Diceros bicornis minor: one gene and its partners. The protein of the gene in region 3 interacts with the protein of the main gene of each other region in a biochemical or structural test. Links are inferred from orthologs where the notes say so. Each region holds a gene or a part of one and is shown on either strand. Other genes may lie near its edges. The genes, in order: CD2BP2, CD58 and CD2.

Region 1 (8,086 bases), on a different chromosome or scaffold from region 3:
GAATGAAAATCAGGATGTGGTGTTGATAAAACTCGGTGATTAGCCATGGGGAGTGAAGGAGGGCTCTCTGTTTTCTGATGTGGGGCTGAGTGGATGGAATTTCCAGACACAGTGATGGGGCACCCTCAAGGAAGAGGAGCAGGTATAGGGCAGAGATTTTATTCTTTTGGATGCAGAGACAAGAGAAGGGTCTGAGGCACAGCTGGCTTCCCAAGCCTTCACCAGGAACCAGGGCCCATTGGACATGCTGGTGGGGAATTGACGACATCCAGTGAGACAGATAAGGCAGGCCCTGCCCTGGGAGGGCTCCTCTTCTGGGGTGATAAAAGCATTCAGACAGTGCCTGGAGAAGATGACCTTGAAGGTTTATGGGATGGTGGCAGATGAAGGAGGGAGAGAGAACACAGCCTGTCCTAGGGAATGGGTAGGGAGCACGCAGAGTATGCAGGCAAGGGTGGAAGGCTGGAGCCTGGAATGCTTTGACTATGGTCTGAGTCTTTGGCTTAAGCTCGATAGGCAGAACTAGGAAGGTAGATGGAGGTGTGTGGTGCTAAAGCTCTGAGGTTAATCTGGAACTGGATCTAGGAGGGGTCTTGGCTGGGGCTGGGGGGTAGGGTGCAGGTTTACTTTGGGTCAGAGAGCTCCCAACTCCTGTGATTGCCCTCATGGTCTTTTCCAATACCCACAGGCAACAGGACCTGTATCGAATCCTGAAGGCCTACACCATCTACCGGCCTGACGAGGGCTACTGCCAGGCCCAGGCCCCAGTGGCTGCAGTGCTGCTCATGCACATGCCTGCTGAGGTCAGCATATGCTGGTCCTGGTTGGAGAGGGGCTGGGAGGATCTTGGCCTGCAGTGGTGATGGGGGAGCTCTCTGCTCCATTTCTCAGGCCCCATCCATTCCTCCTTGTTCTTGCCCTTTTCAGCAAGCCTTTTGGTGTCTGGTGCAGATCTGCGACAAGTACCTCCCCGGTTACTACAGTGCAGGGCTGGTAAGTGTCTGGAGTCTGGGTGCAACCGGGGCTGTGACTTTTAACCAAGGCTGCAGGGAGGTCCTTGTCCTGCCCCATCCTGTGTCCTTCTGTCCCTCTCCTCTGGGCCTTTCCCGCTGAGGTGAGGATCCTGTACCAGGGCCATTTCTACCCCAAGGGGGCTACAGCAGGCCTCTTTTCATGGCTCATCCCACTTCCAGGAGGCCATTCAGCTAGACGGAGAAATCTTTTTTGCACTATTGCGCCGGGCCTCCCCTCTGGCACATCGGCACCTGCGGCGGCAGCGCATTGACCCCGTGCTCTACATGACAGAATGGTTCATGTGCATCTTCGCCCGCACCCTGCCCTGGGCTTCAGTGCTGCGTGTCTGGGATATGTTCTTCTGTGAAGGTACTTCTGTAGCCATTCAGGCCATGAGGGGGCTAGAGTTTCCATGGTGGCTGCCAGAGGGTGGCCCACTAACACTGTTGGGCCTTGGCTTCACTGTAAGCCAGCTGGGGGCTGGAGAAACTGAGGCTTCGTCTTGGCTCTGCCACCAACCCAGAGCCTGCTCTCCCTCAGGACCCTGAAACCCATGGCAGCTCATTTCCCTTCTTGGGGCCTCAGTTTCCTCATCTGTAAGGTTGGCAGTAGACAGGGATGGGGGCTATCAGTCCCTTCTATGTGGGACGGGCTGGGATCCCACGCCTGATCACATATGCTCTCTTCTTTCTGACCCTGCAGGCGTCAAGATCATCTTCCGGGTGGCCCTGGTGCTGCTGCGGCACACACTGGGCTCGGTGGAGAAGCTGCGCTCCTGCCAAGGCATGTATGAAACCATGGAGCAGCTGCGCAACCTGCCCCAACAGTGCATGCAGGAGGACTTCCTGGTGCATGAGGTAGGTCTTGGCCTTAGCAAACCCCACACCTGCTTCAGCCCATCCCCACCCTCGTCTTCATTCTGGTACTCATTTCTTCTCGGTCTAGGTGACCAACCTCCCGGTGACAGAGGCACTGATTGAGCGAGAGAACGCAGCCCAGCTCAAGAAGTGGCGGGAGACCCGGGGGGAGCTGCAGTATCGACCTTCACGGCGACTGCATGGCTCCCGGGCCATCCACGAGGAGCGCCGGAGGCAGCAGCCACCCCTCGGCCCCTCATCCAGCCTCCTCAGCCTCCCTGGCCTCAAGAGCCGTGGCTCCCGGGCAACTGGAGGGCCCCCCTCCCCACCTCCTCCTGCCCGCAGGGCCAGTGCTGGGCCTGCCCCAGGGCCTGTGGTCACTGCTGAGGGACTGCATCCCTCCCTTCCTTCGCCTACTGGCAACAGCACCCCACTGGGTCCCAGCAAGGAGACCCGGAGGCAGGAGAAGGAGCGGCAGAAACAGGAAAAGGAACGTGAGAAGGAGCGGCAGAAACAGGAGAAAGAGCGGGAGAAGCAGGAGAAGGAGCGGCAGAAGTGGGAAAAAGAGCAGGAGAAGGAGCAGCAGAAGCAGGAGAAGGAGCGGCAGAAGCAGGAGAAGGAGCAGCAGAAGCAGGAGAAGGAGCGGCAGAAGCAGGAGAAGAAGGCCCAAGGCAGGAAGCTTTCGCTGCGTCGAAAGGCAGATGGTCCCCCCGCTCCCCAGGATGGTGGGGACAGGTCCTCGGCATCTGAGGCCCGGCAGGATGCTTACTTTTGACCTCTGCCCTGGGGCTGGACTGCATGGCCCCCCTCTTTTTCCCTCAGCCAAGAGCAGGCCAGTTGTCCCTCTTTCTGAGGAAAGTGGCTTGATTCCCCATCCCCTTGCTAGCTGCTGATCCCTGCACAGCCAGGACAGTTGGAGTGCACGGGGCAGCTGCATTTCCCTGGGGCAGCCGTGAGCAAGTCTGGGGCCCCTCACCTCCAGTTAGGCCCAGCTGGGGTCTCTGTCACTCCTGCCCCAATTCCCTCTGGGGTCCCTTCCCAGGTGCTGTCCTGATCGGCCTTTTGTCACCACAGGGTGACTCTTGGCAATGGGAGTCAGCAGTTTTCAGATTCTTACACTCCAGTTGCTCCCCTTACCCGTGAAGTGGAGCTGGGTTCCTTTCTCCCTTCTTCAGTCCTGCCTGTCGCCCCCACTTCCTGGCTGGGGGCCGAGGCTCTCCTCACTCTACTTCTGGACATCTCTGTGTTGTAATTATGTACAGAGGACCTGGTTGGCCCAGGGTGGGGGTGCTTGCTCTATCTTCTGTCCTTGAGTTCTCCTGCACTCTGGTTTATTTAAGGGGACATGCACTGGAACAGGAAATGTCCCCCACTTCCTACCCACCGCCGTCCTTGCTCTCCTTTCTCTTCACCCACCCTCCTCTGTATTCTCAGGCCTCCCCTGCTTTGTCTCACCAGGACCCCCATCTTTCACCTTATTCCCTTCCAATCGTCCAGCCTCTTATCTGGGTAAGGGGTCTTCCCTTGAGCTCCAGGGGGTAGAATCCAATGTTTACATTCTCTTCTGTCTCTGCTCCCACCCAGTGTGGCGCTTTGAGGAACCAGAAAAGAACCTGCTGTTGTACCTGGGCCTGTCTCCTGCTTTGTTATTTGATGGAGGGGTTTAGAATAAGGACTAGGGAGGGACAGAGCAAGCCAGAATCTGGGTGTCTATTGAAGCAGTTGGCTGGTCTTTGCAGGTGGGTACCTCTTGGCCTTTGATCCATCTCTCAGTCACTCATCAACAAACAGTGGTTGAGCTCCTGCTCCACCTTTGCCTGGGATCTGCTGCCTTCATTGTCACTGGCCTCCTGGAGTCCTCTATGCACTACCTGCAGTGCCCAGATCTCCTTCCAGAAGCGCTCATGCAACTCCTGGAAGCTGGAGGGGGAACTGAGGGTAGCTAGAAAGCCACAGTCCTCTAGGGGTGAGCTGGGCTCTTGGCCAGCAGCCTGGCACAGCTCCTGGTACTGGGCCTCCCGTGTGGGTAGCAGCACAGACAGCCACCTCCAGCTCACTCCAGCCAGCGCCCACAGCCAGGCTCCCAGTTCCTTCTCGTTTTCTGCTGCCAGCTTGTAGGCCCGCCCACCTTCTGTGTCCTCTACCCTGGGAGTCAGCATGGTGAAGTCATAGGATTCTGTGGCTCCACTTGGCAGTTCTCCAACAGGATGAGGCCCAGAGGTGTGCGGTCTGCCTGGTGCTCCAGGTAAAAGAGGTTTCCCCGGAGGATGAACCAGCGGCCCTGGTAGCTGGTATTTTGGGCCCCCCTCTTTAGCAAGATGCTCTTGATCTGGAGCCTGTGCTCTGTACCCACGGAAGAAACTGAGCACAGACTTTTGGTGCAGTTTCATGGTAGTCCAATCTGGGAGGAAACCCTGGGAGCAGGAGAGAGGAGTGGAGGGTCTGTCGCGTTACCCTGGGGACCCCATGCTGCCTTCCTTTGGCTCCAGTGGGCTCTTCCTGGGCACAGCTTTAGCCTAGTGGGATTCAGACTCTGAGTATCCTCAAGAGCTGGAGGTATTGTCCCCAGAGCACTGGGATCCGCTTCTCCCACCTCCCAACCCCAGCTCTGCCCCTTGTGCCAGATAACCTGGGCAGGGGATGCAGGGCTGGGGCCCTGTTTGCTAAGCAGGGGGATTTACTCTGCGGCTTTGGTGCAAGAGAAAGAGGCACTGCTGCCCTTTTCCAGGCCTACCTGAGGTCAGGGCACAAGGGGCTTCTGGCCTGGGTACTGGGCACAGGTGTCACTGCCACCTATCCTGTGATGGCTCTTCCCATCAGAACCAGGAATTCGCCCAGGGGGTAGGTGCGGGGTAAATGACTTCCCCTGGGTCCTAAAGGGAGCTGGTTTCAGCAAGTGCCCCAAGGGCCGTCAGAGGCTTCCAGCCGGGCATCAGGAAAGCCGGGCTTCCCCTTAGGGAGAACAGCAAGGCTGCACTTGGGACTAGGACAGGGTAGACAACGACGCTGAGAGCGGGAAGACAGGATTTCTGATGAGATGGTGAGGGGCGTAGAGACCTTGGCCAGCGCTGGGGGAAACTAGAGCAGTAACCCACTGGCCCTGCTGGGACTTTGCCCTTCCATCGTGACCCGGGGCGCCACTTTAAGTAGAGTGCGTCCCACTTTCACTCCAGAGCCTCTACTGCTGTACTAGGGAATGGAAGCTACTTCCGGCCATTCCTCTCGTCCGATGAGGGTTTAGGCGTTCATACGTCTCCTCTTCTCGCCTCCGTCGCCCCACACGGTTCACGTCACTTCCGGGAGGGAGGTGTCTCCGCCCCCCGCTCATTCCGTACTTCCGCCCGCTCTTCCAGTTAGTCCTCTAACCCGAGTGAAGCCACTTCCGGCTTTCCCTGGCGACTTCCGCAGTTCTCTTCCGGGCGATGTCGGCGGGTGCCCCGGATGTAGCCCTGGTGAAGGCATCTATCCTTTTCTTCCCCCGCCTACCCTGGATCCTTAGGTGAGCGCGCACTGGTGAAACTGTTCGAAACCCCGTGGCTCTGCCGGCTCCCTTATTTGTACACACAGGCCGGGACAGCTGGGAGTCACCCCGCGGAGTTGGGAGTTCGGCATGGGGAGGGGCGGGGCGACCAGGGTGCCAGGTCTTGCGTCCGCCGGGGCCTCGTGGGCTCTGGGGGAGCTGGAGGTGGAGAAGCGGGTGTCAGCCCGCGGAGCCCCGTCGCGCCCAGGGCTGCGGGGGCCGGGAATGAGGGCGTTCACTTAGGGGAGCCTGTCTCTTTTCGTCAAGGGTGGGGGCGTCCATAGGGAGCTTCTGCGCGCGTCCACTTCTCCGTCCCCGCCCCAGCAACTCTTTCTGATGCCAAACCAACTCCTGGGGGCCGCCTCGCTGCCAACTCCCCTTTCGGCCCCCGATTCTGTGCTCCCTCCCCTCTCAAACTGGATCTAGTACGTATATTCGTTGTGCTGGGGGCCCTCTCGCTGTGAGTATCCTTGCCCAGTTCCCTTAATCTGCACCGTTTCCCTCGGCTCAGCTTGGGGACCGCCCCTCTGTCCAGTCATGCCAAAGAGGAAAGTGACCTTCCAAGGCGTCGGAGATGAGGATGATGAAGATGAAATCGGTGTCCCTAAGAAGAAGGTGAGGGGCACAGACTCCTGCGTTCTGGGGAGGAGGTAGGGGAGAAAAAAGAAACGAAGTCAGAAGAGGAAAAACCTGGAGGAACAAAGAAAGGGTAGAAAAAGCTAGCTTTTCGATGTTCTCTGGGAAATGGGCTTGGAGGATTATCATTTTGAGTTCAGATGCTAGAGTATCTTGAGGAATAGCCAGTAACCTGCATCTCTCGACTCGCTGGCTCTTGCTCACAGCTGGTGGACCCTGTGGCTGGGGCAGGGGGTCCTGGGAGCCGCTTCAAAGGCAAACACTCTTTGGACAGTGATGAGGAGGATGATGATGATGAGGGATCCAGCAAATATGACATCCTGGCCTCAGAGGATGTGGAAGGTGAGCTATACCCAAGAGTTGACTTTCTGCTGTAGGAACAAATAGGGGTTTGGGGCGATGTGTGGCAGGGGGCTCCTCTTTTTCGCATGCCTAGCATGAGACACTTGTGTCTTTGGTGCAGGTCAAGAAGCAGCCACACTACCCAGTGAGGGAGGTGTGCGGATTACACCCTTCAACCTGCAGGAGGAGATGGAGGAAGGCCACTTTGATGCTGATGGCAACTACTTCCTGAACCGGGATGCTCAGATCCGAGATAGCTGGCTGGACAACATTGACTGGGTGTGGCCCAGGGACTGGCATGGCTGGGGCCTGGAGGCAGCAAGTGCTGGGCTTCGGCCCTGCTGGCAGCTTTCAGCAAATAACCCTTACTATTTTCATATTACAGGTGAAGATCAGGGAGCGGCCACCTGATCAGCGCCCACTGTCAGACTCGGAGGAAGAGGACAGCCTGGGCCAGACACCAATGAGTGCCCAAGCCCTCCTAGAGGGCCTTTTGGAGCTGCTGTTGCCAAGGGAGACAGTGGCTGGGGCACTGAGGCGTCTAGGGGCCCGAGGAGGAAGCAAAGGGGGCAGCAAGGGGCCTGGGCGGCCCAGTTCCCCCCAGCGCCTGGACCGGCTCTCTGGGTTGGCTGACCAGATGGTGGCCCGGGGCAACCTTGGCGTATATCAGGAAACAAGGGAACGGTTGGCCATGCGGCTGAAGGGATTGGGGTGCCAGACCCAGGGACCTCCTGACCCCACACCCCCACCCTCTCTGGACATGTTTGCTGAGGAAGTGGCAGAGGAAGAGCTGGAGACCCCAACTGCTGCCCAGAGAGGAGGTGAGATTGAAGGGCAGAGGAAGGGTGTTGTGGGCAGGGGCAGAGCACTTGAGGCCCAACTGGCTTTGCCTGTTATTTTAGAAGCAGAGTCGCCTGGCGACGGTCTGGTGGATGTGATGTGGGAGTATAAGTGGGAGAACACAGGGGATGCTGAGCTGTACGGGCCCTTCACCAGCACCCAGATGCAGGTAAACCCCTTTCTACTTCGTTCTGCTGCTTCTCTCCCTCCTCCTACCCCATCAGTTCGTTCCCAGCTCTACTCTCTCTTCTTGCAGACCTGGGTGAATGAAGGCTACTTCCCGGATGGTGTTTATTGCCGGAAGCTGGACCCCCCAGGTGGACAGTTCTACAACTCCAAACGTATTGACTTTGATCTCTACACTTGAGCCTGCTGAGGGCCCAGTTTGGTGGCCCCTTCTTTCCTGGACTCTGAGGAGGATGCCCCAGCTGCCCCAGGCAGTGAGGATATTGGGGGCCACTTTTCAGTTAATTTTCCTTTCCTAATAAAAGTCTTTAGTTGTGTATTAGGGCCTTCGCTGTGCTGATGGCCAAAAGCCAGGACCTTCTCCACAGCCCCTCGCCTCTGTCCTTGAGTGTGTCCTCATGAAGTTCTTTCTTGGGAGTTTCTCTTCCTTTGAACCACTTCGCCGTTGTTTACCACTCCTATGGGCAGAGCCAGGGCTATCAGGTGGCCTGTGGCCTCTCCACCTGGACTCTGCTCACCATCGAAAAATCCTTCAACTTGCACAATGTTGTCCGATATCCTCTGGGGGTTTCTGTTTTGCTGTTCTTAGGGCTTTGGTTTTTAGTACTTCACAGTCTCTTTCCTTGCAGCCAGTACAGGATAGAGCCCCAGAAGTGGAGATTTTAGGCCAGGAAGGGCTGCGACATATGTT
Region 2 (7,907 bases), about 170 kb from region 3:
GAAGGACACAACACACCCGTAAAAAATTCCTGCCAAGAAGGTAGTACCCAGAATCTAATCACGAGGAAACCGACAATTCAAACAGAGGGACATTTTATAAAACGACGGGTCCAGACCCTTCAAATGTGGCGATGTCAAAAAGTACAAAGCAAAACAAACAAGTTGGCGACAGTTTTAGATGAAAGGAGATTAAGAGGCAGGACTACCAAATGCAGTGTGTGATCTGGGATTGGCTTCTGGTCTCTGTTAGAAAATAGTTTTGTAACAATGCTCTATTTCCTGACTGTGCTGATGGCTCTGTGGCTTACGGGAGACTTATTCTTAGAAGAGACAAGTTGAAATATTTAGGGGTAAGGCCTCATAAAGGCTGCAACTCTCAAATGGTTTAGCAAAAAAAAAAAGAAATTTTAAGTGTGTGTGTATAAAGAGGAAGAAGTAAACCAAATATGACAAAATGTTAATAACTGGTGATTCCAGGAGAAAAGCATGTAAGTGTTCATTGTACTATTTTGCAACTATTCTAAAGATTTTATATGTTCCAAAGTTTTTAAAAAATTCAAAAGAAATATGAACCACTTCCACTCACCTTTCCTCTGCTTTACTAATCTCTTTATTAGTAAATGTTTTCTTTACCACCACCCACCATCTTTATATTTCCTCATTTATTTATTTACCATCTCTCTCCCCCACTGTAATGTAAGCTTCACAGAGGCCAGGAAGAGTGTTCCTGGTATCCCCAGGCCCTCGTACAGTGCCCGACACAGAGCTGACACTCAGTAAGTATCTGCTGAATGCCTGATGTTCACAATCATTCCATGAAGTAGATACTATTTTATCCTTTCATGTGAGTGGTATACTCTCTCTTCAAAGGCAAAGATACCGAGGCACACAGAAGTTAAGTAATTTATAGAAGTTCGTAACCCAGGCGAGGGGCAGGGCCAGGGTCTGAAGTCAGGCATCTGACTTGAGCTGATGCTGCTTATCACGGTGTCAGGCAGCTTCCTAGTGAAGCACGCTCGGCCCCCAAAGGGCTCACCTTCTACAGGCCTGCGCCATTCATTCAGCCTTGTCCTTAGTGCAAGGCCTATTCAGAGCAGGTGATATTCATGCTTGCTGAATGAAATGACTTCTGAATAAATACATGAACAGGTGGGAGAGACCAGTATGAGGGGACTGTTCAGACAATCTTCCTGGAGGAGGAAGGGCTGGATGGCTAAACTGGGTTTTCGGGGGAAGAGAGAGCACAGATACAGGCAGCAGTGACAACAGGTACGTTCCAGGACCAGGGGGAGACCAGCTCATCTGGAGGAGGGTGACCCCATCCATTCAGGCTCTGCATGTGTCTCTCCTCCTTTCCCACAGCCAACGGTACATGAAAGCCTCACAGCTCTTTGGGCCCTGTGATGGTAGTCTGCCCTGACCTCTCTGCTTCCAATTCCTCTCCCTCTTCACTGCTGCCAGATTACCCTTCCTAATGCATGGCTCTGATCCTGTCAGGCCCAGAAACAGCTCTCCTTTGCCTATAGAAGAGAATCCAAACTCCCAAAGGGGACATTCAGGGCTCCGCCACGGGGCCTCAAGTTCCCGTGGGCACATTACCCTTCAGTGACACCGAAGGACTCCCTACTGCCCAGATTCACCCTGCACACTGTTGCTCCCCTGTCTTTCTGACCTGGTCTCCTCCTCTTGGAATCTTTTCCCATGTCATGGCACATCCACATACCCTCGGAGGCTGGGTTCAAATACCCTTCCTTCTGTAAAGTCTTTGCTTCACAAGATATTTGATTTCATCCAAAGGTATTGCTTTCTTCCCTCTGCAGGCCCCTAGCACTTCGTTTAAGCCCTCTTACAACACTTACTCCTGGGCATTACAAGGGAGGTATTTTTGAGCATATCTCAACTCCTCCCCCCAGGCTGTGCTCCATAGATGTATGTACCCCATAGGCACTCAATAAACGCTGAATGCAGCATGGAGAGGGAAGATGGATCTGGTAGCACCCGATCAAAAAGGGGCCCAATGGGAAACCCGCACAGAAAGGAGAACCAGTTAACGGGGTTATTGCTATGTCCCAGGGGTTTGGCTATGACTTAACTAGGGGCCTGTGTGTGGAGGGGCTTATGCGGGTAAGGAGGTAAAAATGGAGACTAAGATACCTATATTTCATGGGGCTGTTGTGACGATTTAGCTGAAGAACTGTGAAAGGGATGGCCGCAGTTCTAGACACACAAGTTAGTTCTTTTGCGTTTTGAAGGGAGGGGCAAGGAGCACCGGCCGCACTACTGAGGAATCCCAAGTGAGGCCATCACCGACTCTAGACCCTTCTCTCCCTCTCCTCTCCCCCTCCCGCGCGCGGGTGGAAATCCCTGGCTTTGGGACTGGCACTCCCGGCGGGGGAGGGCGGAGTGCTGGCGACCAGCCGCATCCTTCGGGCGGCGAGAACCGGTCCCCAGCCCCCGTGCCGGGCGAGTTCCCAGGCCCGGGAGGCAGTGATAAGGCCCGCCCGCCGGGGGCCCGACAAGTAACTTAGCAGTCACTTGAGTCTCAGAGAAGAGGCACACCCTTCCGGAGAACACTGGGTGGGGGGTGAGCGGGGATCGGGGTGGGGAGGGGGGTTAGCAGGGATCCCCAGAGAGAGAAAACAGCGCCGGAGAGGTGAACGAGCTGGAGCCCCGTGCCTCTTCCACCCAAACAGGATTCAAGCGCCTGGGCTCAAAGTTTCTTCTCGACTGCCCACGGGAGACTTGCTGAGGAAATGACAACTTTCTCTCCCCAAGGGCCCGCTGGCTGCGTTTCTACTGCCACCCAACCCAACTTGCAATCGCCTTCAGCCCAGCCGGCCCACGCGGCCCCGGAGCCCTGGGGTCACGGTCGCACCCAGCGCTGCCCGTCCCTGCGGGGGGCCCGGGGAAGGCCTCCACTCACCGAAACAGAAGACCAGGCAGACCACGGCGAGGACCCCCGCGGCCCACCCCGGGGCGCTCCCTGCGGCCATCGCGTGTCGGGCCATCTCTGCGCCCGGGGCCCCCGCCTGGCGCAGCCGCAGTTCCGGGCACTGGCCTCGCCCGCCGCGGAGTGTGGGCCCGGCGCCCGCCCCGCCCTGCGCCCACGGCCGCCTTGGTCCGCCCCTCAGCGGCCAGTCCCGCCCCGCACCCGCCCCGGCCCTTCCTCTTTCCCCGGGACGCCGCTGGTCCCGCGTCTTCGTGCTCTTTCTCCCCAAAATGCCGGCTGTCCCCCTGCCCGGTCCCTCCTGTCACCCCGCCGCCCCCCTGTGTGCTCGGTGGGGCTCTCCTTGAAAAGTGCTTGCGTTTTTAAAACCTCGTTTCTCTTAGTTCCTCCCGCACTGTTCCACGGAGCCTCCGAAGCCCTTTATTCCTCCAGCGCTTTCCAGCAGCCGCAGCGGCGCGGAGCGTGCCTTTTCAGCCATGGGGACCCTGGACTAGACAGTCTCTTTGAACCACTCTTTCCTCAAGTATTAAAACGACGGGAAACGGGACGTTTTAGACAACTGCTAGAATGTGTGGGATTACCTGGGGTAATCGGCGCCCCTCAAGCGCTTGTCTTTCCTCATTCGAGTGCATGCCCGCTTTTCCTTAAGCCTCACCCGCCCCCGCCCCTCCCTCAACCCGGAGCTGGAATTTTCAGCCTGTGATTTCTCCCATCTCGGTTTCCTTTCTGTTTTCCTTTTCTTCCCTCTCAACTGTGGACTTTCCCTCAGGCTGAGGAGTCAAGTCTGTTCGCTCCCTCACTGTTTTTTGCCTCCCAAGATCTCTCTGCCCAAGCTGCAGCAGACACTTGGAACTCTCCATCCTAGAGGTTAGTCTTCTTGATTGGCTTGCCCTTCCCACAAATCCATGGGATCCCAGACCAAATTGCTCCCAGAACCAGCTCTTCACTCACAGCAGCCTCCCTGTCTGCCTCTTTCAGAGAGAAGCACCAGAATTGCCCCTGCCCAGCTGTGTGCTTAAGGAAACTTAGTTATCACGTGACTGTCTTCCAATGAGCAGGACTCCCTGCTATCCTAATAAACACCAGCATGAAACCAAGTGGAAATGTGCTTTATTGTTGCTGTCATCTCCATCACCCCGACCACTCAAGACATTTGAACCATGCTGTAAGAATTCATGAGTTATTTCTTAAATTGGCCATAAAATCTTAAAAGGAATCTCAGTGAAATTTCTGGGACCAATGTCCTGTACCATGAAGCCCGCTACCTTAAGACATTCCCTGTCATCTACAGATATTGGGAACACAGGCAGGTGCAGTGTGTAGGGCAAAATGTGAGAAAATCAAGTTTCTCCTCTGCCCTGGGCTGGTAGGAACTCCGGTCAACTTGGAAAGGAAGGATGGATGGGGTCAGATCTTTAGACACTGGGAGCCCCTGAACGGTTTTGAACTGGGAAGTGACATAACAGCAAATATCTGTCGAGCACTTACTATGAGCCAGGCCCTGCGTTAAGTGCATTAACTGGATTAATTTAATCTTATTGTCCCAATTTTTACAGATGAGGAAACTTAGGCTCAGAGAAGGTAAATGACTTGCCCAAGGACACACAGTAAGAGGCAGAACTGGGAGTCCAACCAAGGCCAAGTCCAAAGCACCACTCTTACCTTTTGCACACTAGCAGGATGCAACTTTTGGGTCGGCAGCCATGCTGCTGTCTGGACTGGCCGACAGCAGCTGTCAACCCGGTCCAGAGCAGGGCTGAGGAGAGGACTGCCCAGTCCCCTGTGACTGGGAAGTACCACCCAGTTCATGGTCCCCAGGCATTGGGTGAGGAATGGTTCATTAGGTCTTTCTTGCCTGGATGCTTCTCTGACCAGCAAGCAGTGGCAGCGTTCTTATTAAGAAAAATGCCGTGGGGCCGGCCCCGTGGCTTAGCAGTTAAGTGCGCGCGCTCCGCTACTGGCGGCCCAGGTTCAGATCCCGGGCGCGCACCGACGCACCGTGCTCCGGCCATGCTGAGGCTGCGTCCCACATACAGCAACTAGAAGGCATACAGCAACTAGAAGGATGTGCAACTACGACGTACAACTATCTACTGGGGCTTTGGGGGAAAAAAAAACGAGGAGGATTGGCAATAGATGTTAGCTCAGAGCCGGTTTTCCTCAGCAAAAAGAGGAGGATTAGCATGGATGTTAGCTCAGGGCTGATCTTCCTCACAAAAAAAAAAAAAAAAAAAAGCTGTGCTTCCATCAGGCATTTTTAGACATGCTTATATGCCTGGTCTAGCAGACTTCATGAATCAAAAGTGGCTCAGAAAGGCTAGACCTGCAATGCGTTAGGCAGACGGCTGAAAGTTTCCTTTCATATACTGAGAACTTGCCACCAAAAGGAGAGCTGGACCTGTTTTTCATCCTGTGACCGGTATTGAGAGGGCCCCTTTCATCTGCTTGTCACTGTAGAGAATCCTGGACTGGCAGATAAGAAGGAAGGGCTCAGTCAGCCTGCTCATGTGGTCTGGGGCTGCCACTCTTCCGGGTGTGTCAGTGTCTGCTCTCTTGGTCTACTTCTTGCCATCCTTGGAATCACCTCCAGGAAGCTTAGGAATCCCAGCACAGAGAGAGCAACACATTGCTCCTAATCCTGCATACATGAAAATTATCCTTGCCTCATGTGGAAGTGGACATTCACTTCATTTATATCAACACCGGGCAGATTTGCTCCAAGGGCATAGAAGGGTAATCTTATTCCATAATACTCTATTTCCCTTTTTTGAATGTTCCCTGGCAGAAAGAAAGCATTTGGAAAAAATTAGGCAAAAATAATACATAAGACTTAACATGCTACCATTCTGGGTACCCAAGGGATAAACAGTCATATCAACCCTTGGCCAAACCAGCAGCTGCAAGAAGAATGCAGCAAATGGGGCTGATAAGCAGAAGAAAACACACAGTCAAGCCTTTGAAAGGCTTGAGTTTTAAAAAGGAAGCAAAAGAAAAGGGAGCACCTCCCTCTGCTTTTTACCCTCTATCTAGTTCCCTTTGCATATTCTTCTGTGAATTTTAAGGAATTACAGATGGGTTCTGACTAATGATGTCTCACTGCTAGGGCTTTAATTATTCTATCATTCTTCTCACTTTGCCGGCGTAGTGAACTCCTCCAAAACATGCCAGCGTTTGAGTTGTGCGGCCTCACAGAATAGGAATGCACAGGTCCTGCTTTTTCCTTCATTCTGGAAAATACTTGCCGAATATTTCACAGGGTGGGGGCAATACTACATAGTTTGAGAAAGATGGTGTGGTCTTCCTGCCGAGACCAAGGAGAAAGTTGTCCTATGTTCCTGCTCTCCTTCTTCATCCGTCTCCTCTCATCCCATCCTGCCCAGCCCCCTCCCCCAAAAAGCTAGAGGTTATAACCTCTACCTTCTGAAGCTGCCTATCAGGCCTCCAGGTGGGTTGTGTGTTACATAATTTGAGGGGCAGCAATGCGTTAACGGTCAGGGTAGGTGTGTTCATTTATTATGATACATTTTCAGCAGATGGCAGTAAAGTGTCTTGAGTAAGGGATGTTTTTTATTATTTGTACAAAGGCACCATTTAGGCTGGGGGTGGGGCATGATAATAAAGGCTGCAACTCATGAACCTTGAGCCCAGCAGGCCAATATCAGGGGCAGAACTCCAGGCCTCCGGGGCACAGTTCCCCCGAGGAGAGTGGCTGATGACGTAAGGAGAAAGGAAGACACTGGACTCCAGTAAATGTGAACAGCCATATTTTCAACATAATTTACTACAGGTCTCTGAAGTGTATATAAAACATTTTAGTGCAACATCTTACAAATAGTTTTCCTTAAAAAAAACCAACAAAAACAAATCAACAGCTCTCTACATCATGCATGGGTAGTTTTCTTACCCCATCTCTTTTTTCTCTCCAACAAGTAACGCAGAGAAACCATTATTTGTAAAGAATATGAAAACTTGCTACAGAAACACCCTGGTGAAAGAGGGTGTGGTCATATCCATGTCCTGGAATGGGCCTCGCACAGTGTAGTTTTTCATTAATGCAACATGGTAGATGTCGATAAGTCAAGAGAGCAGTCAGCAGTTTTCCGCTCCTTGTCTCAGAGTACTAAAGCTCCGGGAGGCGATTGCGATGAGGTCTTGCAGCCACCAGACGGCACCATTACCATTCATCTGACACCACATTTCCATAGAAATGGCCAAAGAAAGGTCCTGGGGATTTTCATTGAAAGTTGGAAAAGCTCCCCCTAGGACGGTAACCCCCAGCCCAACAGAAAAAGCAATTATTAAAATACTGGCTTCGGTTTCTTTTTTCCTTTCAAATTTCCCACAAATTCTTCACATATTTAATTATGTGCAGTACCTACTTTTCTATAGCTTCAAACTCAAATCTTAGTTACACATCCCAGTCCCAGCCAGCCCTCCGGCATCTTTCCATTCAGACAGAGGAAGTAAGTCATCTTCCCTCATTGACTCAGTCCATCAATTAGGCGTCAGCAATTTCCCACTGAAAGTCCAAACCCCAGAAATGAAGAAATGGGGCAAAAGACTGCCTTCTCTCCTCACCACCAAGCTGGCTGATTCTGTACCTCTAAAGCACTGTTGCAGCATAATAAATGAGAATGAGCATGGCAACAGCGGGACTAAGGTTGGTGCCACCACACCGTCTCATGAGAGTACGTACACCTATCAACAAACGGCTGAGCAATCGCCTTGCTTCCCCTCAGCTGTGGTGCACAACCATCTGCTGAGCACCGAGGCCACCTGCACACCTGCAGACGCCGACAAGGAGCAGCGCCCACACGGCCTGGGGAACCCCACAGCCTCCCCCGCAGTCTGTTCTGCATCAGAACAGAGTTTTGCAGCAATCTCTCCAGTGAGACTTAGTTCCAGAACGCCTGGTGGCTTTTTCCAAATTGAGAACTCCCTTGGGATTCAAGAGGCAGGT
Region 3 (7,169 bases):
GCAAAGTGAAATAAGTCAGAGGGAGAAGGTCAAATACCGTATGATTTCCTTCATTAAGTAGTAGATAATAACAACAAGAAACAAACACTTAGAGACAGAGATTGGGTTGGTGGTTACCAGAGGGGAAGGGGGGAGGGAGGAGGGCGAAAGGGATAATTCGGCACATGTGTGTGGTGATGGGTTGTAATTGGTATATGGGTGGTGAACATGATGTAATCTATGCAGAAATATAAGTATAATGATGTACACCTGAAATTTATACAATGTTATAAACCAATGTTACTGCAATAAACAAACAAACAAAAAAGGGAGATGTGGGTATCAAGACTGAAGCCGTGAAAGGCTTGGAAAAACAAGGAGATGGGGGAGGGCATTATCACTGAGCGAACAGGTATTGTGACCCAGGAGCTGCAGGCCACCTTTCCTTAGTTGTCTCCTTGAAGCCCTGTCTTGCTGAATATCCCATGGAGTTATTATTATGAAAATCAACCTCAGAGCAGATAGGGAATTTGCCCAAGGCCGTGTGGCAAGTAATGGCGGACCGCAAATTGAGATACGATGCTTTGTGACACTGACATACACACACACACACACACACACACACACACACAGAGCTAGGTGGCTGTGATGTCATGGAAAGATCTCTGTCTTTTGGCCAACGAGTGTGGGGTTTATTTTGGGGGTGCTGAAAATGTTCTAAAATTGATTGTGGTGATGGTTGCACAACTCTGTGAATATACTAAAAGCCATTGAATTGTACATTTTAAATGGGTGAATTTTATGGTATGTGAGTTGTATCTCAATAAAGCTTTTTTGGGGGGAGGGGGAAGTCATCATCCTTGCTAACAGAAGCCCTGGACTTGGGTTCTGACTTTGCTCCTGTCAAATGGTGAGACTTTGGACAGGTCGCTTGAGTTTCCTTAGAGATAATTTCCTTATAGATAATAAGGGGATAATAACAACTACCTCTCAGGATCGTTGGGAGCCTTGAATAAGATCATGTGAGCAAAGCTTCTGACCTCTAGCTGGTACCCATTATCCTTACTACCACACTAAAGGAGACACAAACATGAGGCTCATGTTCAAAACACAGCACTCGAGCCCACGTTGGCAGGAGTCCTGAGAGCTGTGGGGCCCAGAGCCCATAATCAGAGGACTCTTCTGGCTCCATTCTCAGCCCCACCCCATTTGTGGAAGGTACTCTCCCTTCAAGGTTGCAGGTTAGGGTATGGAAAGTTATCATCTGCAAGGGAGCTAACAATGTCTGGGATTGTTGGAGAGGGGCTGCTGCCAGGTCCGCGTGCTGAGAACTAGGTGGGAGGGGGCCCTGCCTCCGGCAACATTTCCTGTGTGAAGCACAGACATGTTTATTTGCTCACTGAGTCTCTGGCTTGTGCTCACGCTGGGCTTCCTTCTTTCTCTACAAACCTAGTGCAGCTTCCTCTTCTCACTTCTTATCATCCACTGCCATTGTCTCCTGGACTTGTAACTTCCAAGTCCTTTCAGTTCCACTTTCTCTTTCCTCTCTCCTGCTCCCAAGCCATCTTGAATGTCCCTTCTCCACATATGACCCTCAGAATATTCACTCTTCCTCATTTTACAGGCACCCTTTCGACTAAGCCAGTGATTACCAGCTTTGGTTGCTCATTAGAATCACCTGGGGAACTTTAAAACCTACTGGTGCCCAGGTCCCACGCTAAAAATTCTGATTCAATTGGTCTGGAATGGGACCTGGGCGCCGGTAACTTTTAATAGCATCTCAGTTGATTCTAACATGCAACCAGGGTTAAGAATCATGAACCAGCCCCTCCCCACTTCACTCGGACTATAGCAGAACTTCCTGGCTAGTCTTCTTGCCTCCATCTTCAATATCCACTCTTGCCTTCCTGGTACATTCATAGGTGTACAAAGCCACACCTTGCGTATTTTCTACAAATATCAGCGAAAATCATCTTTCACCTTTTATCACTCTGATGTTGAGCAGATCAGAAACAAAGCCTGTTCATGCTTAAATTCATTATTTCCAGCCTTTCCTGCCATATAACTACTCCTTCAGGGCATCCTGGCTTGAAATTGTCTCTCTAGATTGAAGACCCACCGCTCTCCAGTCAGCCACCCCTTCCCTGGCCCACTTCTAGCTCGCCCCTTCATCATCCACCTGGAATGGCCATCTTTATCTTCTGCCCACCTGTTCCCCTCCTCCTGATTAATGCCGTCATAATCCAGGTTTTTCACTCAGCCCCATAACCCCGTAACCACTGGAGAGAGAGGTTTAGGTAGATAGACTTGAGGATCTATCAACTGTGTATTTCCGCATGTGTGGATTCCATCTCTCCTACAGGACTGGCGCCTCCACTGAGGCAGGAGGGATGCATTCATTTTCCTTTAGGACTCCCGTGAGGCTGAGGTCAGGGCTGGGGACATTCCGTAAATGCTATTTCCCAACCTGCTAAATAGCACCCATACTGAGATGGAGAAATTTAGAGAACAAAGACTTACCTAGAATCCTCAAATCAAATGTTTTGTCCAACACATATTTTCCTTTTGTATCATATATGAGTACCTGGTAGGTATCGTTATGAATGCTCTCCAGGTGTTTAATTTTCAGAGTTCCATTTTTAAATATCTCATATGTTTCATTATTCTGGTAAAATGTCCTGTCGTATTTGCGTTGCGCAATCTTGGTTTTGCCTTTTTTCCATAGTATATCATCTATAGCATTATTCCTTGGAAAATCAGGAATGTCCAGGTTGATATCATGATCCAGAGCACCCCAGATGATGATATTCTTTCCAGAGACTGCACCTATAAAAAGCAAGACAGTTATGAGGTCTTGAGACTCACTGCCAGGGAAAGCTGGGCTGTGACTTCCTTGACTCTTATGCTCACTTCAGGGTCTCCAAAGAAGCTTCTAAGGGTAGCAATGGAGGCCCACACACCAACTTACCTTTGGAGGAGAAGAAGCAAATCAAAAGGAAGCTGGCTAGGATTTTACATGTGAGGTTCATCTTTGGGGTTAGTTTCCTTGGTGATTCTGAGCTCTTCTTGCAAAAGGAATTGAAATAAGACTGGCGGAATCCACCCCCTGACAGCTTAACCACGTGCCTCTTTTTTTTGCTTCTTTTATGGTAGCATAGAAAGCACACACACGTGCGCGCGCACACACACACACACACACACACTCAGCAAAATGATCCTGCTGATGTGCACCTTTGCCAACGCAGATATATTTATGAGTGTGTGTTTTCTTATCACGTTTTAATCCTCACAACAAACTTGGGTGGGTTTTGTTATCCCCACCGAAGAGATGAGAAACTGAGAGGCTAAGTAAATCACTTGGGATCACCCTACGGTTAACAAGGAGCCAGATTCAACCATACAGCCCATCTTATATCCATTCAGCTATAATGCCTCTAACAAGACCACAGAGAAATATAGGTAAACATTCATGAGTGAATCGCAGAATACAAACAGTTATCCTATGATTACAAATATTGAAAAATGTATACATATGAAATAATTATGAAAATGGATTTTTTCTCTATCTCAAAAGGTGTTTTTAATATTCTAAAATTGTTTTTATGATAAAAAGAAATATAAATTGTCAGCTGTAAATACTTGAAATCTCCAAATCTTATGTTTAGCATACATTTTACAACTCTATTGAAATTCACAGTTAGGTAAATAAAAACTTGTTCCAGAGCAAACAAAAATGCGTAAAGACTATGAAATACTATTAAACAACCAGAACAAATCATTCAAAAAACATTTAAGATGGTTAACACGATAGATGGTTAAGGAAAGAAGCAATAAGGAGAAAAACCGAAGTGCGAGAGAACTGGGAGAGAAAGAGAAAAGAAATTCGTGATACGGGGAGAGAAACAGAGTGATGTATTGATGCACACACACAGAAAAAGATGCACAGAGAGATCCAGTCACAGAAAAAAGGGACACTCAAGGACAGATTTCCAAAGTAGATTTCCAGTTTTATGATTCTTAAGGATAGAGTAAAAATCTTAAAAACGGTGCTTGTTTTCTGTTTCAACTTTAGGTACAAATATGGATATTCTCTCTCAGGAAGTTGCCCAGGAAATGAAATTAAGTCAAAGCAATGGATCTCAACCATTGGGTAAAAGGAAGCCCGAATATTTGCATTATGATTGTGTGAGAAATCCCTAAATCATATCATCCATAAAAATAAACTACGGTTGGATTAAATTTTTAAATGTTAAAAAATCTATAATAGTGCTAAAAAACAATATAGAAAGATATTTTCATATCTTTGAGTACAGAAGGCCTACCTACATATACAATATGATCCAAAAGTAAGAAAGAAAAGATGGACACAATTGAGTACATAAAAATGTAACATTTATGTATAGGCAAAGAGATAATGAACAAAATGAAAAGATATGACAGAAAATATTTGAAGTATACCTGAAAAATTACTAATATTCAAGATATATAAAGTATTCCTGTAAATGAATAAGAAAAAGAAAACTCAGTTTTTAAAATGGGCAAAGGATATAAATGAGCAGTTTATAAAAGAAATACTCTATAGAAGAAGTATCAGTAAACATATGAGAAGACCTCTAATGTCACCAAAAATATATATATTACAGCCATAAAATACCATTTTCACCATCAGATTGGCAAAATTAGAAAAGATAATAATTTACATTATTGACAAGAATATAGGAAGAAACAGGCACCTTCATACAGTATGAGTGTAACTCCAGACCTCTGGGGGGGAAGAATTTGGCCATTTCCACCAAACTTTAAAATATATATATTTTTGATCTATTAATTTTATTTTCAGAAATTTATTTTATGCAAATATTTGCATAAATTAGCAAAAATTCTGTTCAAGGACATTTGTTGTAGCATTTTTTTGTAATAAAAATTTGCAAACAACTAAAATTATGGTATATTCATATTATGAAATATTGTATAACAGTTAAAATAGAATGAAGCAGACTCAAGAGTAAGAATATAATAATATTACATTATATTATGTCATATTATATTATATTATATTACATTACATTACATTACATTACATTATATTATTAGTGCATGTGTAGAAAAACGTCTGGAAGGATTCTTGCCGAACTTTAACAGTGCTCTCCTTTCAGAACTTAGACTTCGAGAAAACTGAAAGGAAACTTTCACTTTTTATTTTATCAACTTCTGTGAAGTTAGAAATTTTGGTAAGGAACACATTATCTTTATAATGAAAGGTTTTTGTGTTTTTTTAAAACAAGGAACGCTTAAGTATATGCAGATCCTGACAAACAGTTAGCATCTAGTTTCCCTGCTTGTAAGTGGCTAACTCACTAGCCAACTGTCCGACCCAGGCTCGCAAGGCCTGGTGCAGGTGATGTGGTGAAGACCATCATGTAACCTGCCTCAGCTTTTAAGGGAAGTTTCTCCCTCTTCTTCCCACTTTCCCGCAAGCTTTTCCTATCAGGTGGAGAGCAGCTCTCTGTTCTTCTTTTTGAAACATTAATTCTGCTCCTCTCACATCTCATTCAATTCTGAGTGATGAGCACGGCTTCAAGGGCAGAAATCGCAAAAAGAAAGAGATCGATGGATCTATGTAAAATTTAAAACTCTTCTATGTAAAAATCCAAAAAAAAAAAAAAATTAAAAGACAGAGTGTGCAAAGGGGCACATTATTTACAAGATATATGACAAAGATTAATATCCTTAAAATTAAATTTTTCTTGTAAACATAGAAAGAAAAGATACGTCCCTTGATATTAAAATGGGTCAAGGTCGTAAAAGGGACAATTTATAAAAGAAGAGATACAGTTAAACAACAAGCCTATGAAAACACAGTCAATTTATTAACAAAGAAAGAAATGTAAATTTTAACATACATGTATTTTTCAACTTTCATTTAAAAAATGAAAATATACGGTGTTAATGGTGGTGAAAACAGACATTCTTGCATACAGCCAGTAGAAAAGCAAATAGGTGTAGAGTTTCTGATGGACAATTTGTCAGTGTGAATCAGAAGCATCAAAAATATTTATATTTTGACCTAACAAGTCCACAACAATGATTTTATCCTAAGGAAATAATAAGGGACTTATAAGACTTGGCTATAAGTTTATATACTGTAGTCTTTTTTATAAGTTAAAATTGGGAACAATTTAAATGTACAAGAGGAGGAAATTGGTTAAGTAAATCATGATATGACAAACTGAATATGGAAAAAAAGGTCACAATAAACAGTACAGGACTGCTTTTGTTTCTCCAAAAGTGCGTGTTGGGTGTGCATCTCTTGGAAGGATGTCCACCAGGGTCTTGGCGTGGTGGGATAATGGCTATCGTTCTATTGTCTTTGGTTGTTGTTGCTATTCTAATATTTTTAAATTGAGCATGTATTGCTTTCCAATTGATTTCTTTTTGATTCTAAGTGGGCCTCCCACTTAGGCAAAAGCTCCCCGGACTGAGGGTGGGTGCAGCCTCTGCCCGCATGTGTTGAGGTTCCGGGGAAAATCCGGTGGATGACTCACTCCGGTTTCTCCCTCACCATCCACATTGCAGTCTAGGGGTTGTCTCTGGCTCTATCGTAATTGACTTTTTCTTACCCAAACTAACACTCTTGGGGAAATAGACTAAAGGGAAGAAAGTAAGAAGCAGAGGAGGGGGAGAAGAAGACAAGATTCTCAGAAGCCTTGCTTTAGGACCAACTCCTACTCCCTGACTAGTGAAACACCTTCAGCCCTGACTCCCACCTCCTGCTCTCCGTATCCACATAAAGCATGAGCGAGGATTGGGTTGTGTTAACACTGTGGCAGTTCACACCCAACTGAATGTCTTGAATTGTGGGACTTTAGAGCAGAAAGAAACTCAGGAAGCGATCTGGTCTCCTCTCCACATTTCAGTTGAGAGTCCTGAGCCCAGGGAAGTTCTGGGGTGTGCCTACTCCCTTCATCCAAGTCAGCAACCTAATCTCCAGCCTCTAGGACCCGTGCTCCAAACTCTGGGACATCGTCTGCTTCCTACTGAGGGTCAGGGTCATCTTTGCCTCCTACACCTTGCGAGCACCCTCGGCTTAAGAATCACTAAGTCCAGTCTCTCTTTCCTACGTAACATCCATCTCCTCTCTGGTGCCTCCACTGTGCCCTCCTTACACCTTCCAACAAGCTCAAGTGAGA

Evidence for each region.
Region 1: the proteins of CD2 (region 3) and CD2BP2 interact in a biophysical measurement, tested with the Homo sapiens proteins (6 studies listed by BioGRID and IntAct, with this or other methods). The link is inferred for Diceros bicornis minor from reciprocal best matches to the Homo sapiens genes CD2 and CD2BP2.
Region 2: the proteins of CD2 (region 3) and CD58 form a complex in vitro, tested with the Homo sapiens proteins (3 studies listed by BioGRID and IntAct, with this or other methods). The link is inferred for Diceros bicornis minor from reciprocal best matches to the Homo sapiens genes CD2 and CD58.

The regions. Positions count from the first base shown.
Region 1 is NC_080765.1:21,531,144-21,539,229, forward strand, and holds CD2BP2 (CD2 antigen cytoplasmic tail-binding protein 2), read left to right. Parts: upstream 1-5,078; 5' UTR 5,079-5,370; intron 5,371-5,665; exon of another isoform or gene 5,666-5,816; intron 5,817-5,902; 5' UTR 5,903-5,928; coding exon 5,929-6,006; intron 6,007-6,233; coding exon 6,234-6,369; intron 6,370-6,490; coding exon 6,491-6,648; intron 6,649-6,754; coding exon 6,755-7,190; intron 7,191-7,271; coding exon 7,272-7,378; intron 7,379-7,465; coding exon 7,466-7,576; 3' UTR 7,577-7,714; downstream 7,715-8,086. Other genes in the region: TBC1D10B (TBC1 domain family member 10B), read left to right, coding at 689-803, 928-993, 1,194-1,383, 1,717-1,871, 1,960-2,646. UniProt on the Homo sapiens protein: Involved in pre-mRNA splicing as component of the U5 snRNP complex that is involved in spliceosome assembly.
Region 2 is NC_080743.1:48,969,273-48,977,179, forward strand, and holds the start of CD58 (lymphocyte function-associated antigen 3), read right to left. Parts: upstream 3,048-7,907; 5' UTR 3,009-3,047; coding exon 2,924-3,008; intron 1-2,923. UniProt on the Homo sapiens protein: Ligand of the T-lymphocyte CD2 glycoprotein.
Region 3 is NC_080743.1:49,135,884-49,143,052, reverse strand, and holds the start of CD2 (T-cell surface antigen CD2), read right to left. Parts: upstream 3,069-7,169; 5' UTR 3,009-3,068; coding exon 2,948-3,008; intron 2,806-2,947; coding exon 2,500-2,805; intron 1-2,499. UniProt on the Homo sapiens protein: CD2 interacts with lymphocyte function-associated antigen CD58 (LFA-3) and CD48/BCM1 to mediate adhesion between T-cells and other cell types. CD2 is implicated in the triggering of T-cells, the cytoplasmic domain is implicated in the signaling function.